4 linked regions of the Saccharomyces cerevisiae S288C genome follow. The gene in region 1 interacts genetically with each later gene. Each region holds a gene or a part of one and is shown in the gene's direction. Other genes may lie near its edges. The genes, in order: SVF1, FAT1, GCD11 and UBP9.

The links.
Region 2: mutations in SVF1 (region 1) and FAT1 together harm fitness more than expected from each alone (negative genetic interaction), as found in Saccharomyces cerevisiae (2 studies listed by BioGRID).
Region 3: mutations in SVF1 (region 1) and GCD11 together harm fitness more than expected from each alone (negative genetic interaction), as found in Saccharomyces cerevisiae (one large-scale study listed by BioGRID).
Region 4: mutations in SVF1 (region 1) and UBP9 together harm fitness less than expected from each alone (positive genetic interaction), as found in Saccharomyces cerevisiae (one large-scale study listed by BioGRID).

Annotation. Positions count from the first base shown.
Region 1 is NC_001136.10:1,166,648-1,170,582, reverse strand, and holds SVF1 (Svf1p), read left to right. Parts: upstream 1-1,923; coding exon 1,924-3,369; downstream 3,370-3,935. Other genes in the region: PAL1 (Pal1p), read left to right, coding at 1-257; mitochondrial 37S ribosomal protein mS43 MRP1, read right to left, coding at 440-1,405. UniProt on the Saccharomyces cerevisiae protein: Ceramide-binding protein that may transfer ceramides from the endoplasmic reticulum membrane to the cis-Golgi network membrane, and is thereby required for the biosynthesis of complex sphingolipids. Required for survival in response to oxidative stress.
Region 2 is NC_001134.8:316,553-320,824, forward strand, and holds FAT1 (long-chain fatty acid transporter FAT1), read left to right. Parts: upstream 1-1,713; coding exon 1,714-3,723; downstream 3,724-4,272. Other genes in the region: FIG1 (Fig1p), read left to right, coding at 416-1,312; CST26 (putative acyltransferase), read right to left, coding at 3,864-4,272. UniProt on the Saccharomyces cerevisiae protein: Acyl-CoA synthetase required for both the import of long chain fatty acids (LCFAs) (C14-C18) and the activation very long chain fatty acids (VLCFAs) (C20-C26) by esterification of the fatty acids into metabolically active CoA-thioesters for subsequent degradation or incorporation into phospholipids.
Region 3 is NC_001137.3:203,485-207,350, forward strand, and holds GCD11 (translation initiation factor eIF2 subunit gamma), read left to right. Parts: upstream 1-1,766; coding exon 1,767-3,350; downstream 3,351-3,866. Other genes in the region: carnitine O-acetyltransferase YAT2, read left to right, coding at 1-1,479. UniProt on the Saccharomyces cerevisiae protein: As a subunit of eukaryotic initiation factor 2 eIF2, involved in the early steps of protein synthesis.
Region 4 is NC_001137.3:353,735-358,230, forward strand, and holds UBP9 (putative ubiquitin-specific protease UBP9), read left to right. Parts: upstream 1-1,731; coding exon 1,732-3,996; downstream 3,997-4,496. Other genes in the region: ribose phosphate diphosphokinase subunit PRS2, read right to left, coding at 4,371-4,496.

The DNA of each region.
Region 1 (3,935 bases):
TGAGTTTAAGTAGAGACAACTATGATGTTGGTCACAGCAATGAAGGTGTTAGAAGGTCGAAAACCGTTAATTCTCCTAACAGAACGCATAAGTCCAATTATACTACTGATTTCGACGGCCAAGATGATCACAATGAAGATGAGGAAGACGTTTATTTGGGTGTGCGCTACAATGAGCCCAATATGAAAAAGAAATCGACGGGCAGCAAATTACTGAGCAGAGTAAAAAGTCTAAAGGTCGGCAGGAAAAGTCAGTAAAGTGAGCTTAAAAGAGAGAAAAGAAGCTATGAGACACCAAAGCCAGGCAAATAAAAGGGAGAGATACGAATAAAAATAATTTAAGACCACGTTATATACACATTACGAATAGTTTGACTTTATATATTTACAGAGACTACCAACTTATATCAAAAGGAAAAAATTCCCATTACCAGTTTCATTCATAACGTGTTGAATGCTTGGATCTTAGTACGTTGAGGTAACCTTGACTCTACAATTTTCCATTCTATAGAGTCCCATACCCTTTCTAAATATTCTCGTTTCCCAAATACGCCATAATCAGTTAACCATGTTTTTGGTGACGCATCAATGGCTAAAAGCGGGATATATGAAACCTCTTTCCCAGAAAAACCTTTCTGTTGGGTTTCATAAATAAATTTTGTCTTGGCTTGCTTGGCAGTCATCTCAGAATCTTCAAGATTACCGGCTTCTTTGGCTCGTTGTTTTTCCATGTTGGTATATTGGTTATTGAGCTCATTCATTACCCCAGATGTAGAGAAGTTGAAGGGAGTTCCCGCATTGTACGTATTCAATATAAACAGCTTATCATATTCAATATCCCTGTTTGGCATGTCGTTGCGCATAGCACGTTTGTCGAGCTGCCGTCTTGCGACTAACCACGTAAACCCGTCGCCTGATATAGCAAGATTTGAATTTATTAATAATGTTCTGAACTCCATCAAAGACCCAAATGAAGAAATTAGAGCTGCTTGCAAACGTTCGTTGCCAGTGGTCAATGGCTCATTGCTTATTGTCCTATTGAAATCAGGGGTCTGAAGTAGCGCCTCTGGACCTAGCCTGGGGCATTCCTCTGGCGGAGTCCTGATACATCCCTGAAGGGAAGACATGCTAAATTTCAAGTTGTACAATGATGACGCATAGTTCACGATATGTTTCTTTGAAGCAGATTTCGAATTTTCATGGATGAGAGTTTCTAAGGGTTTTTGTTGCGCTTCATTTGTACAATCGTTCAATTTTGCATCGAGATATTTCACTCGGTCGAACCATGCTTTCTGTAATCCTTCAATAGAAAACAGCCCTTTCAGAGGAGCACCTTCTTTCAGGTGCTCGAGTGCATACCTAGTAGAGTACTTTCTAATAGCGCGAGCACCAGTAAAGCGAAGCATGGTGCTGGAAACCTTAAAATTCAAAAGTATTTAGATTCCCCCAGCTGTTAAATGGCAAATCACTGATTGTTTCCAGATCCTAGCTAAAACTGCGGTTCCTCCCACCGTTTCTGCCATACTTTTCATCACTTATGCATTATGATATTGCTCTTGAGAGAATCTGAGCAAAATCCTGCATAATATAAATCTCACTTTCCACGGAACTTCAGGTCCGGTTTAGTACCGCTTTTTTTCGTTGTTTTTTTGTTGTTGAGGAGGCAAACTTGCGATGAGTGGGAGAAAACAAAAGCGAAATGACAGCTGGTTGATTGAAACATTCGGGGATATCTTGCAAGATTACTCCTTGAGATTCACGAATAGCACGGCTTTTCGTTTGTTATATATAGATAGAGCCTGTTGATAGAATTCTTTTGTATTCGTTTGATAATTTGAAATCTGTAGAAGATCAAAAGATTCAGTCATTTATTGCATCGAATCAAGAAAAAAGAAACGAATAAGCTTTTGTATAATATAATATAATGTTGAAGTGGATAAAAGGTGGGATCTCAGCAGTCACTGGTATGGCTGAGCCTGAATATGGGAAAGATTACATTCATAGTGTTGCTGATAGGGTAAAAAATAAGCAGCCTTACAGAGAAACCAGTCGTGAAGATTTTTTTTGGCAAGCTCCTGACCATACAAACGTTGAATCGGTTATCTTTTATTTCAGTGACTTGAAAACAGGTATCTTTGGATTTGCCCAGGTTATTCATTCGAACATCATTGGGTTGCACACTGCATCCCAATTTACTTTCAGAATTTTTGACTCGAAGAATCCAGAGGATTTGAATATCTGGACTTCCACCAAGTTGGAAAATTTTTACATCGAAGGTCCAAACTTCTATGCCGACAATCTTTCTGTAGAATTAAGTGAAGACGGTGAAAGCTATCACATTCAATCCAGTGTTTGTGATTTATCTGTCGTTGACTTGCATATAAGAAGGTTAACCCCTGGAGCCAAGATAGGCGATGATCCTGCGACTTATTATGGTAACAATATCAATGAACCATGGGGTAGCATGAGACACGTTTTCTGGCCAAGGAATGCTTGTCACGGTACTATCAAAGTTAAGAAAGAAGTTATTCCAGAATCTGATGAAGAAGAATCCTCAGCTGATGAGGATGATAATGAAGACGAAGATGAAGAGTCTGGTGATTCTGAGGAGGAATCTGGTAGTGAAGAAGAAAGCGACAGTGAAGAAGTCGAAATCACCTATGAAGATCGTACGATTACTTTTAAAGAGGAAGACCCTGCGATTTCGACATTTATAATGGCCTTCCAAGGCATGAAGCCTCATCACGCAGCTAAGGCATGGAACTTCATGTTTTTCCATTCCGAAAAGTATTCCGCGGTGTTGATGGAGTTCACTACACCAAAATCATATGCCAACACTAAAATTTCTGCTGGTATTATTACCGATGATAAAGAAGTTTTAGCGATGACAACTAACAATCTTGTTGAGCACTTAAACTCAGAAATTGATTCTGTTGGTTGGAAAGTTCCAAAAGATATTAAGATCACCTTCAAAGGTATCAATACCAAAGTCAAGGATGAACAATTGGAATCCGAGAATGGGACTGAACAAGCTTTACAAGGAGAGGATGAAAAGGAAGATGAAAAGGAAGATGAAGAGGAAGAAGAATACAAGAACGTCGCAGAAGAAAATAAGATCTGTGCTGTTGTGGAGGGTCCGTTGAACAACCTAGTTGAAAGAATTGATGTGATGGGCGAAATTCCAAGTTTTGTTAAAAACATCGTCTCTGGTGTTGCTGGTACTAAGCCATTTATATACCAATATGCTGATCCAAAAAGCTCAACTTTACAAATAAATGGCGGGGAGAAAATTCACGGTGTAGCTTGGACCGAAGTAACATTCATTTCTGAATCAGATGTGATTAGTGAGGAGTCTTACAATGAAGCATGAGCAAAAGTGGGAAGGTCTCGTATGCTTTTTCCTATCTGTGATTTAATACTACACAAATCTAATATTGCAAATTTTAATAATTATAGCAAGTTATCGTTATACCCCTTTTTAATTGTTGCGTCACATAATCGATACTATTGTTCAAAATAAGAGTGATGCGAGAAATAGCCACAGTAAACAATGTTGCCATAATAAATAGTTGTCGTTTTTATTCATCTCATTTTTCTTATGTATCCATACATATATATATATAATGTAATATAGCCTGAGCAAATGAATAAAGTTTTCGTGGATATCTGCGAAATATACCCTTGCAAGCAAAACAAAAGAACTCTCAGAAAAGGTTATAATACAGGTGCTGGTAGGAGTAAGTACGTTCCTGGGGCTTGGTATTTATCGGGATGAAGTGATCATATGTATTGTTCCAGGTTTAATGAAACACCAAATGTATTTAATCAAAAAGAAAACCTTCCAGACTATTTTAAATGGCTCAAATACAAAATACCGCAACTATGCACTTCGTTTTAGGGATCCATCTAATCTGCAAAGTCGGAAAATGGAAACGA
Region 2 (4,272 bases), on another chromosome or scaffold:
TTGTAGAACATGAAACGAATTTTGACTTGATGAGACGAAGTATATATCCAAAGAATACCTTAAATAGAAAAGGAAAGATAATAAATACTAAACACTACTATATATTCAGGTAAAATACAAAAATTATAACATTTTTAAAACTTTTTTTTTTTGAAAGTCCTTCTCGCTTTAGGATTTTTTCCCATTAAGATTATGATGGTTTCATGTATGTGTCAGTTAAAAAAAATATGGCTAAGTAGCAATGAAACGAACCAAGAAAATGAAAACAATATATAGTGCTGTTGAAATAACAAAGACATTGGTATATATTTGTAAAATGTCTGTTAAATGTTTTTTATCTCAGGTTCTTGCTTGTCTTTGGTAGAAGAAATTATAGTAAACAAACAAACAAACAAACAAAAAAAAAAAAAAAAAAATGGTCGCAATCTCAATGATTTGGTTTTTTACCAAGCGTATGCCCAGAATATTTGCATTAGCTTTTAATTTAATTTCAATATTTCTTTTGATTTTTCTTCTCATCGGCTGTTACAACCCGTCAAATCAGTCAACATTTCTAGTGAAGTATAAATTTGATGACAACTCACCTTTTTATACGATCATAGAGAAATCATATGAAAAATCAAATACAACTCTGGGCTTGGAGGAAGTCATTATAAGATCCGGTTACATGGGTGTTTGTATTGATAACATTCCCTCCCAATATAGCTCTTACAATAATATGACTACATTCTCCAATTCAATTTGCTATGCAAGAAAGAATTTAAGCTCGGTTCCCTTATACAGAGACTTGGAAATTCAACTCTCAAATATTGCATCTTCCAGCTCCAAAACCCAATCAAGCGTTGTCTTGAACATTTTGAAGTTAGCCCAATTAACTTCGGTTAATGTTATACATCCATATGTCTTGATGGCAACTGTAATCCTAACAATCCTAATGTTTCTATTTATTCTGTATGTAACTGTCCCTAAGTTACCATTCAAACTAGCGGTTAATAAATTTCTACTGTTGCTAAGTTCAACTATAGTTTTGACATGGGGTATTGGTGCGATGTGGACTCATGTAGGGATAAATGCAAGTTACAGATTGGTTCCATCATCAAGTATGAATATAATCACTGTCAAGAAGGGCAAGAAGGCAGCAGTAATGGCTTGGTTTAGCTTTGCATTCCTCCTTTTAGACAGTGTGGTTTTATGGTTAATATTTTTAAGGGATAGGAAAAGCTTGAAAGATGAAATTGATAATGTTCCATGTGCCCAAAATAGGTACAATAACTACTCTTCGGATTCATCTACATTGCATTCCAAAGTTTAGTTTTATCCTCAAATAAACATATAAGTTTTGAGCGGATATTTCAGAATGTCAATTTTTAAAAGTAAAAGGAGAAAAAATTTATATAATTCACGATTAACATTATATAATGTGATGAACTACTTAAAAAATTTAACGTTCGATAATTAAGTAACAACAGAGAAAATATGAGCTTACCTAAACTCTAATCATTACCGTCTGTTTTATTTACTGTCACCTTGATGAGCGACTAAAAAGATAGAACGCGGGTTTTTCGCGCAATGTAACAAAGCTCCAGAAATTTTTTATAAATACTAATGTTATAGCAAAAAAAATAAGGACCTTAAAGTCGTAAACTAAATTGAAAAGCCCAAATCATTCAAATTCTATATCGTTGAACTTTTAATAGGCTGCGAATACCGACTATGTCTCCCATACAGGTTGTTGTCTTTGCCTTGTCAAGGATTTTCCTGCTATTATTCAGACTTATCAAGCTAATTATAACCCCTATCCAGAAATCACTGGGTTATCTATTTGGTAATTATTTTGATGAATTAGACCGTAAATATAGATACAAGGAGGATTGGTATATTATTCCTTACTTTTTGAAAAGCGTGTTTTGTTATATCATTGATGTGAGAAGACATAGGTTTCAAAACTGGTACTTATTTATTAAACAGGTCCAACAAAATGGTGACCATTTAGCGATTAGTTACACCCGTCCCATGGCCGAAAAGGGAGAATTTCAACTCGAAACCTTTACGTATATTGAAACTTATAACATAGTGTTGAGATTGTCTCATATTTTGCATTTTGATTATAACGTTCAGGCCGGTGACTACGTGGCAATCGATTGTACTAATAAACCTCTTTTCGTATTTTTATGGCTTTCTTTGTGGAACATTGGGGCTATTCCAGCTTTTTTAAACTATAATACTAAAGGCACTCCGCTGGTTCACTCCCTAAAGATTTCCAATATTACGCAGGTATTTATTGACCCTGATGCCAGTAATCCGATCAGAGAATCGGAAGAAGAAATCAAAAACGCACTTCCTGATGTTAAATTAAACTATCTTGAAGAACAAGACTTAATGCATGAACTTTTAAATTCGCAATCACCGGAATTCTTACAACAAGACAACGTTAGGACACCACTAGGCTTGACCGATTTTAAACCCTCTATGTTAATTTATACATCTGGAACCACTGGTTTGCCTAAATCCGCTATTATGTCTTGGAGAAAATCCTCCGTAGGTTGTCAAGTTTTTGGTCATGTTTTACATATGACTAATGAAAGCACTGTGTTCACAGCCATGCCATTGTTCCATTCAACTGCTGCCTTATTAGGTGCGTGCGCCATTCTATCTCACGGTGGTTGCCTTGCGTTATCGCATAAATTTTCTGCCAGTACATTTTGGAAGCAAGTTTATTTAACAGGAGCCACGCACATCCAATATGTCGGAGAAGTCTGTAGATACCTGTTACATACGCCAATTTCTAAGTATGAAAAGATGCATAAGGTGAAGGTTGCTTATGGTAACGGGCTGAGACCTGACATCTGGCAGGACTTCAGGAAGAGGTTCAACATAGAAGTTATTGGTGAATTCTATGCCGCAACTGAAGCTCCTTTTGCTACAACTACCTTCCAGAAAGGTGACTTTGGAATTGGCGCATGTAGGAACTATGGTACTATAATTCAATGGTTTTTGTCATTCCAACAAACATTGGTAAGGATGGACCCAAATGACGATTCCGTTATATATAGAAATTCCAAGGGTTTCTGCGAAGTGGCCCCTGTTGGCGAACCAGGAGAAATGTTAATGAGAATCTTTTTCCCTAAAAAACCAGAAACATCTTTTCAAGGTTATCTTGGTAATGCCAAGGAAACAAAGTCCAAAGTTGTGAGGGATGTCTTCAGACGTGGCGATGCTTGGTATAGATGTGGAGATTTATTAAAAGCGGACGAATATGGATTATGGTATTTCCTTGATAGAATGGGTGATACTTTCAGATGGAAATCTGAAAATGTTTCCACTACTGAAGTAGAAGATCAGTTGACGGCCAGTAACAAAGAACAATATGCACAAGTTCTAGTTGTTGGTATTAAAGTACCTAAATATGAAGGTAGAGCTGGTTTTGCAGTTATTAAACTAACTGACAACTCTCTTGACATCACTGCAAAGACCAAATTATTAAATGATTCCTTGAGCCGGTTAAATCTACCGTCTTATGCTATGCCCCTATTTGTTAAATTTGTTGATGAAATTAAAATGACAGATAATCATAAAATTTTGAAGAAGGTTTATAGAGAGCAAAAATTACCAAAGGGTTTGGATGGAAATGACACTATTTTTTGGCTCAAGAATTACAAGCGCTATGAAGTCTTGACCGCTGCTGATTGGGAAGCCATCGATGCACAAACAATTAAATTATGATTTGATGTTCCTGAATTAGGATAAAGTATTTTTCCTTGCACGAGAGTACGTATGTAAACGTAATATTGATAAAGAATCAAAAAAAGTTTTATATCTATCTATATATGTACCTAATAACATATGGAAAGGATTATTTAAATTCAAAAAATAAAACAATAAAGTTTATAAACTAACCAAATTATTGTTAGAGTTGGTAATATTAGCACTTCAGTTAACTCAATACGATTGATCTTGAAACTATCGGTAACTGAATGGTTTGTTTCAGGATCACTTACGAATGATCCAGTGGAATAGTACCTTTCCATTAGAGCATCCTTCTCACTCCAAATTTTATACAGCCATTCTGAAAATTCATTCTCGTCCTCTAATGGAATATCTTTAACATCAAATGCTCTGATGTGAATATCGACTAACTTCGGGTATTTTCCTTCTAAAAATATGCTCTTCAGCCCATATATAAGCTCACCATATTCCTCCTGTTTTACACCGGAGTAGCCGATCGTAATATCATAAAGACTTTCAATACTTGGCTTCAACTTTTGTAACGAG
Region 3 (3,866 bases), on another chromosome or scaffold:
TCTGAAATTTATACAGAATCAGTCTTGAGATTAGCTAGAGACGTTAACGCCGGTGACCCACAGTTTTCACTCTGGCCTAACGTGACACAAATGGATCCTGAAACTAAAAAACTGATGACGGCGACCATAAGTGCCGACGGCGGAGGCCCTTCTGAAATTGACCCTAAGTTGGTTGTAAATAAAATCGATTGGTCTTTCAGTAACATCCTGAACACACATGTCCATTTGTCAGAAACCAAACTAGCTGATCTGATTTCCAAGTATGATATTGTTCGCGCTTCTATTCCATTGGGCAGAAGGTCAGCTCAAAGATTAGGAGTCAAGCCCGATTCGATGGTTCAAGTAGCTTTACAAATAGCTCACTATGCTTTGTATGGAAGAATGGTGTTTGGATTAGAACCAGTATCCACACGTGGTTTCAAAAACTCGAGATCATCTTTTATTAACATTCAAAGTCAAGCGCTGTTGGAACTATGTCAATTGTTTATTTCTAGCTCCATTGATGGGACAGATAAATTAGACAAATTTATCCAAACCTGCGAAACACATAATAACATGGTTAAACATGCAAAGTCTGGGGTAGGTTATGAAAAACACTTCAATGCATTGAAATATCTCTTCAAATTTCATGACCATTTTGGTATCCACTTAAGTGGTGATGAATCATCTGCTGCGAAAGATCTTTTCGAAAATCCACTTGTTTTACCTTTCTCACAGCCTGAGTTGATTGTTGCCAACTGTGGTAATGCTGCTACCACGACATTTGGTATAACTCCTGCTGTACCTCATGGCTTTGGAATAGGGTACATCATTAAAGATGATCAAGTAGATTTGACCGTGACATCGCAATTTCGACAGGGTGACAGGTTAATGTTTATGTTAAGTTGGGTGTTAGGCGAAATTCGTTCCTACTGGAGGATGTCACGCGGCACTTCTCATAATAAAACTGGCGTGAAGATCAGTCCAGTGGTCGATAAATTGTATGAAATGGACAATGCAGTCAATAATCCTCCGAAACGTAACGGCCATACAGTCAATGGCTCCCGCAAAACATCTTCTTCATCACAGGTAAATTTGAACAGGTATGGCGGGTTTTTCGATTTGGAAGGCCACATTGACAGTAGGAATATATCTAAAACACCATCGATGAAGAATTTGCAGAAAACCTTCAATGGCTTGACCATGAGCGCAGACAATGATCATTCAAGTTCCGCAGTTTCCGTTCCCACAGAAAAGGAAAAATTAAATACAGGCCATGAAATTTTACAGATCCAACCGCGGGAAGTGGCAAGTAATGGGTTGGAAGCAGATGATGAGACAGATATTGAAATAGTTGCTGGCAATGCTGATGGCACATCCTCTTCGGCATCTTCAGCTACATCTCTAAATTCCAAGAAACGTAACGTCATCAACTCAAGATTCGATATTGATTTTGACCGCAGTCGTGTGGGTAGAAAGGTGGCGACCTTAGATCAATAAGAACGCTCTTTGTTTATCTATTTATTACTAGCATTATGCGTAAGCTTGGCGTGATGTGATATATACTTGTTATATGAAGTATATCAATATGCTTTAATTTATGCTTATTATTTGCTCTCATGTCAGTAACCCGGACCAGATTTGCCATTGAAAAAATTTTCATAGAATAGCCCGATGCTGATCATCAGTACAAAAGACAGAGATTTCATCTCGACCTGTACCAGGAGCTAAGCAAAGAGGGCGGAAAGAGCGTAATACACCGTTAACATCGCGCATTAGAGGTAGACATGAGTGACTTACAAGACCAAGAACCTAGCATTATTATCAACGGTAATTTGGAACCAGTTGGTGAACCAGATATCGTTGAAGAAACGGAAGTTGTAGCTCAAGAAACACAAGAAACACAAGATGCTGATAAGCCAAAGAAGAAAGTCGCCTTCACTGGCTTGGAAGAAGACGGGGAAACTGAAGAAGAAAAAAGGAAAAGGGAATTTGAAGAAGGTGGTGGTTTGCCCGAACAACCATTAAACCCTGATTTTTCAAAATTAAACCCACTATCCGCCGAAATTATCAACAGGCAAGCTACAATAAACATCGGTACCATCGGTCATGTCGCCCACGGTAAATCCACAGTAGTTAGGGCTATTTCAGGTGTCCAAACAGTCCGTTTTAAGGATGAATTAGAACGTAACATTACTATTAAGTTAGGTTACGCTAATGCTAAAATTTATAAATGTCAAGAGCCTACATGTCCCGAACCTGATTGTTATAGATCATTCAAATCTGATAAAGAAATCAGTCCTAAATGTCAAAGACCAGGTTGTCCGGGGCGTTACAAATTGGTCCGTCACGTTTCTTTTGTTGACTGTCCCGGTCACGATATCTTAATGAGTACTATGTTATCAGGTGCTGCTGTTATGGATGCTGCGTTACTGTTGATTGCAGGTAATGAATCTTGTCCACAACCTCAAACCTCAGAGCATTTAGCTGCCATTGAAATCATGAAATTAAAGCACGTCATCATCTTACAGAATAAGGTCGATTTAATGCGTGAAGAAAGTGCCTTAGAACACCAAAAATCCATCTTGAAGTTCATCAGAGGTACCATTGCTGACGGTGCTCCTATTGTACCAATATCCGCTCAGTTGAAGTATAACATCGACGCAGTTAATGAATTTATTGTCAAGACTATTCCCGTACCACCAAGAGATTTTATGATTTCTCCAAGGTTAATTGTTATTCGTTCATTTGATGTTAATAAGCCAGGTGCTGAAATCGAGGACCTGAAAGGTGGTGTTGCCGGTGGTTCTATTTTGAATGGTGTTTTCAAATTAGGTGATGAAATTGAGATTAGACCAGGTATTGTCACCAAGGATGATAAGGGTAAAATTCAATGTAAACCAATCTTTTCTAACATTGTCTCCTTATTTGCCGAACAAAATGACTTGAAGTTTGCTGTTCCCGGTGGTCTGATTGGTGTTGGTACTAAAGTTGATCCTACCTTGTGTAGAGCTGATCGTCTTGTCGGTCAAGTCGTCGGTGCTAAGGGTCATTTGCCAAACATTTATACTGATATCGAAATCAACTACTTTTTGCTACGTCGTCTATTAGGTGTCAAAACAGATGGTCAAAAGCAAGCCAAAGTCAGAAAATTAGAGCCAAATGAAGTTCTTATGGTCAACATTGGTTCTACCGCTACGGGGGCTCGTGTGGTTGCCGTTAAAGCTGATATGGCAAGATTACAGTTAACGTCGCCCGCTTGTACTGAAATTAACGAGAAGATTGCTTTGTCGAGACGTATCGAAAAGCATTGGCGTTTGATTGGTTGGGCAACCATTAAAAAGGGTACTACATTGGAACCCATCGCTTAAGGAACCAATAAAACCACTGCAAAGACAAAAATTTCATAATTAATCTGAAAGAAAGTGAAGATAAGAAACGGGCTAGGAGGAAGGGAAACTGACACTTCTGGTTATTGCAATATGCTCATATACATTGATGCGTAATGACATTGATGATCTTTATTCTCTTTTTATAACGTTTTCTTTCTTTTTTTTTCCTTCTTACATAGTATTCAACTGTATATTTAACATGTTTTACGTATTTTTAAGAAAAAATTACTAAACGCGATAATATTAAGCAAATATTTATCTCATAGTTCTCGAACTCATTTATTTCCCATTGATGCCATGAAAACCTCTCAAACCTTTATCGTCTAGTTACACCAGTAGTCAATAAACTGCCTTTCTTTTTTTACACCCAACATACTCTACACTAAATCTTATCGGTGGTTTGTACATGGAGACAATTGCACAAAGATAATGAAGCTCCAAAATTATTCAGTATCTATTGAGTATATATAACCTTGAAAAGGTTTTATTTTATAT
Region 4 (4,496 bases), on another chromosome or scaffold:
GAGCAATCAGTGTCACTTCTTCCTACATAAGCATAATTCAAGTATCGGGATATAAAGCTATTATATACCGCTTAAGATAAGAGGTATACACCTCATTGATCAAATACGCAACAGCGTCTCCTTTCAGACCTTTGTGGAGTAATTTCTGCGGGTAGGATTGACTATTTTTCAAGATCAATGCCCCCTCACACTAAGACCTGTTTGCTTAGCATCATAAATGAGTTTTTCCATAATTAAATTTCAACCATAGATTAGAATTTCGTTGCGGGATAAAACTCCAGAACCACAACGATTATGCAGCAAATGTAACCTTGAACTAAACTAAGATTTTGTTAGAGCAGGTGGTTTCCGTTACTCAGACAAGAACCTATAGTAGAAATATAAAAGTTTAAGTAAAACTTTCTTGGAATAGGAATCAGCCATCATCTATCAACTAGTGTACTGATATTCATAATACTGGTATACAATCATATACGGTGCGGGAAGATGACATAAAAAATTGAGAAACACTCATCAAATTTAATGGAGGCCGAAATGCAGGGACTCAGATCGTGATAGAATAATAAACGAGAACATATAAAATGGAAGAAAAAAGAATAACAACAATATGTAGATTTATCGATTCTGTTGATAATTAGAGGTAAAAAAATAGTATTAATGAAGAAATAATTACTGATCTTCTTATACTAAATAAGAGAGGTATATAAAACACACGCCGATTGGTCATATTAATCATGACCAATATAATAGTGATTCCGGTAGTTACTATACATTGATGTGACGACTCATATTCCTCATATATGTACCTACCATAACATGTTCAACTAATAGGTGTTTAACACAGCTTCAGTATTGTCTGAGCTTCTCGTTTAACATTCCTTCTGCAATAGGCGCAATCACACTTAAACGTATACGAGGTGTACATTAATATACGATGTAAGCATTAGATTGTTACCATAGCAACTCATGTCACTATTAATTACTCTCGTTCCAACAGATTCTCCTTTTATGGATTCCATATCTCGAGGAGACTTCTAGTATATTCTGTATACGCAATATTATAGCGTTTACGAACAATGAATCCCAACAATTATTTTAAAATTCACCAACATCTCAATATGTGTTTTATGAATATTTTAGGTGGGTATTGTCATACTGACGTATTCCATTTTGAGATGCAACACATACGTGTATTGTAATCCGATATAGTGTAACGGCTATCACATCACGCTTTCACCGTGGAGACCGGGGTTCGACTCCCCGTATCGGAGTACTTTTTTGACATCATACAGTGTATGTATGGGGTTAGGAGCCACCTTCCAACAAAGCATCACGCTGTCGTATCTCAATTGTCCTTCAGCAAAAGAAAAAGCAGTTGGGCTCCTGTACGCCATATATACTTTATATGCGGTTTTTACCCCGGAAATCGCGTTTATTAATGTCAATGCGCGATTTCTATTATGGGTTGAAAAAGTTGCACTTCTGTTCCTTTCCAAACGATATACGCCCCCCCCACAAGAAAACGTTTCTCTTGCATTCAATAAGGTCCATCGAAGCTGTATTTGGAACTTCCGATTTTATTAAACTTCTAGGGGCGAACTCAACCTTTCGCTTGAACAAGCTTGAATGTGTCGAAAACCTTAGCTCGATCCTTAAAAAAGTATTTGCATTATCAGTAATAAACAGAAAATTAAAACATTTACCAAAGGCAACGAGTCTTCCATATGAAAAATGATAAAAAGATGGTTATCTGTGAATAGGAAAAAGTCACACCCGGAGAAGAACACTCAAGGTAATGACGAAATTAATCGGAAAGCAACTAGCCTGAAGAAAACGAAAGGTTCTGGAGATCCCTCCATAGCGAAATCACCAAGTGCTAAGAGTAGTACATCAAGCATACCTTCTAATCTTGCGAGCCATGAAAGAAGAAGCAAGTTTAGTAGTCAAACGGATAACCTTGCAGGAAATAAACATTACCATGAGCATTACCATAATATGGCAAGTACTTCAGATGAAAGAGAGTACGATTCCTCGACTACATATGAAGATCGTGCGTTCGATACAGAGTCCTCCATACTATTTACTACTATTACAGATTTAATGCCATATGGGGATGGTTCCAATAAAGTGTTTGGTTATGAAAATTTTGGGAATACTTGCTACTGCAACTCCGTTCTACAATGCCTTTATAATATCCCCGAATTTAGGTGTAATGTGCTGCGATATCCTGAAAGAGTAGCCGCAGTAAACAGAATACGCAAAAGTGATTTGAAGGGTTCAAAAATAAGGGTATTCACTAATGAAAGTTTTGAAACATCTACTAATAGCGGAAATTCTAATACGGGGTACCAAAGCAATGATAATGAAGATGCACATAACCACCACCACCTTCAGCAGAGTGATCAAGATAACTCCTCTTCTTCTACTCAAGAAAAACAGAATAATTTTGAAAGAAAAAGGAACTCGTTTATGGGTTTTGGAAAAGATAAATCGAACTATAAAGATTCTGCAAAGAAAGATGATAACAATGAGATGGAACGGCCTCAGCCTGTTCACACAGTTGTAATGGCCTCTGATACATTAACAGAGAAGCTTCACGAAGGCTGTAAAAAAATTATTGTGGGAAGACCGCTTTTAAAGCAAAGCGATTCCTTATCAAAAGCTTCAACTACAGATTGTCAAGCAAATTCGCATTGCCAGTGTGATTCACAAGGCAGTAGGATTACATCAGTGGATGATGATGTCCTTGTTAACCCTGAGAGCTGTAACGATGCTGTCAACAATTCTAATAATAATAAAGAGAATACGTTTCCAACAAGTGAACAAAGAAAAAAAGCCGCTTTAATTAGAGGCCCCGTTCTTAACGTAGATCATTTACTTTATCCAACCGAGGAAGCTACACTTTACAATGGACTAAAAGATATATTTGAGTCTATTACTGAAAACTTGTCGCTAACCGGTATCGTTTCACCTACAGAGTTTGTCAAAATTTTAAAAAAAGAAAACGTCTTGTTCAACACTATGATGCAACAAGATGCCCATGAATTTTTAAACTTTTTATTAAATGATTTCAGTGAATATATTCAACGCAATAATCCCAGAATGAGATTCGGACCACAAAAGACAGACAACAGCAACGACAACTTTATAACGGATTTATTCAAAGGTACACTGACGAATAGGATCAAATGTTTAACTTGTGACAATATCACCTCAAGGGACGAACCATTTTTAGACTTTCCAATAGAAGTACAGGGTGATGAAGAGACTGATATCCAGAAGATGTTAAAAAGCTATCATCAGCGTGAGATGTTGAACGGGGTTAACAAATTTTATTGTAACAAATGTTATGGTTTACAAGAAGCAGAACGTATGGTCGGACTGAAGCAACTGCCCCATATTCTGTCATTGCACCTAAAAAGATTCAAGTATTCAGAGGAGCAAAAGTCAAACATCAAACTTTTTAACAAAATACTCTATCCACTAACTTTGGATGTTTCTTCCACTTTTAATACATCAGTATATAAAAAATATGAACTAAGCGGCGTCGTCATCCATATGGGGAGCGGTCCACAGCATGGTCATTACGTATGCATTTGCAGGAACGAAAAGTTTGGGTGGCTTTTGTATGATGACGAAACGGTGGAATCCATAAAAGAAGAAACTGTGTTACAATTCACAGGTCATCCAGGTGATCAAACTACAGCCTACGTTTTATTCTATAAAGAAACACAGGCTGATAAGACCGAAAATCAAAATGAAAATATAGACACTTCTAGTCAAGATCAAATGCAGACTGACAATAACATTGAACAGTTAATAAAATGCGATGATTGGTTAAGGGATCGTAAATTGAGGGCAGCTGCAAATATTGAACGCAAAAAGACCTTGGGGAATATACCTGAAGTTAAGACTGCAGAAACCAAGACGCCATTAAATGATAAAAAACGCAATAAGCAAAAAAGAAAATCGAGAATATTGAGCTTCATCAAATAAATCGGGATTGTTTCGATACATCATATAGTTGAGACCCATCTGTTCTAAAAGTATCAATATTAGTGTACCATTTTTTCTTCCTTTTTTAAATAATTTCCACGTTTCTTTCTATTGTTCCTGATCTTTCGAATTTAGTTGTATTTCACTTCACCTACTGTAATAACTTTTTTTTTTTAGAGCACAATAAAATTTCACATATTTTCCAAAAGCAAGGGCGGTAAATCAGAAAAGATTAAGCTTTAATGAAAATCTCATAGAGACCAGATGAAGAATATTGGTGGCAGCATAAGCGCTAATACTGAATAGATATACGCATTTTTTTTCAAAATATCTGTTAGTACATTTATACAAATATATTCGTTTATACCTCTTCTTTAAACAGGCGCATGTGTAAATAAATATGAGACTGATTCTCCATTATGCAATCTTCTGATAGCTTCTGCAATCGTAGGGCTGATATCCACCTGATCGACAATGTCCAAATCCAAATCAACAGGTAC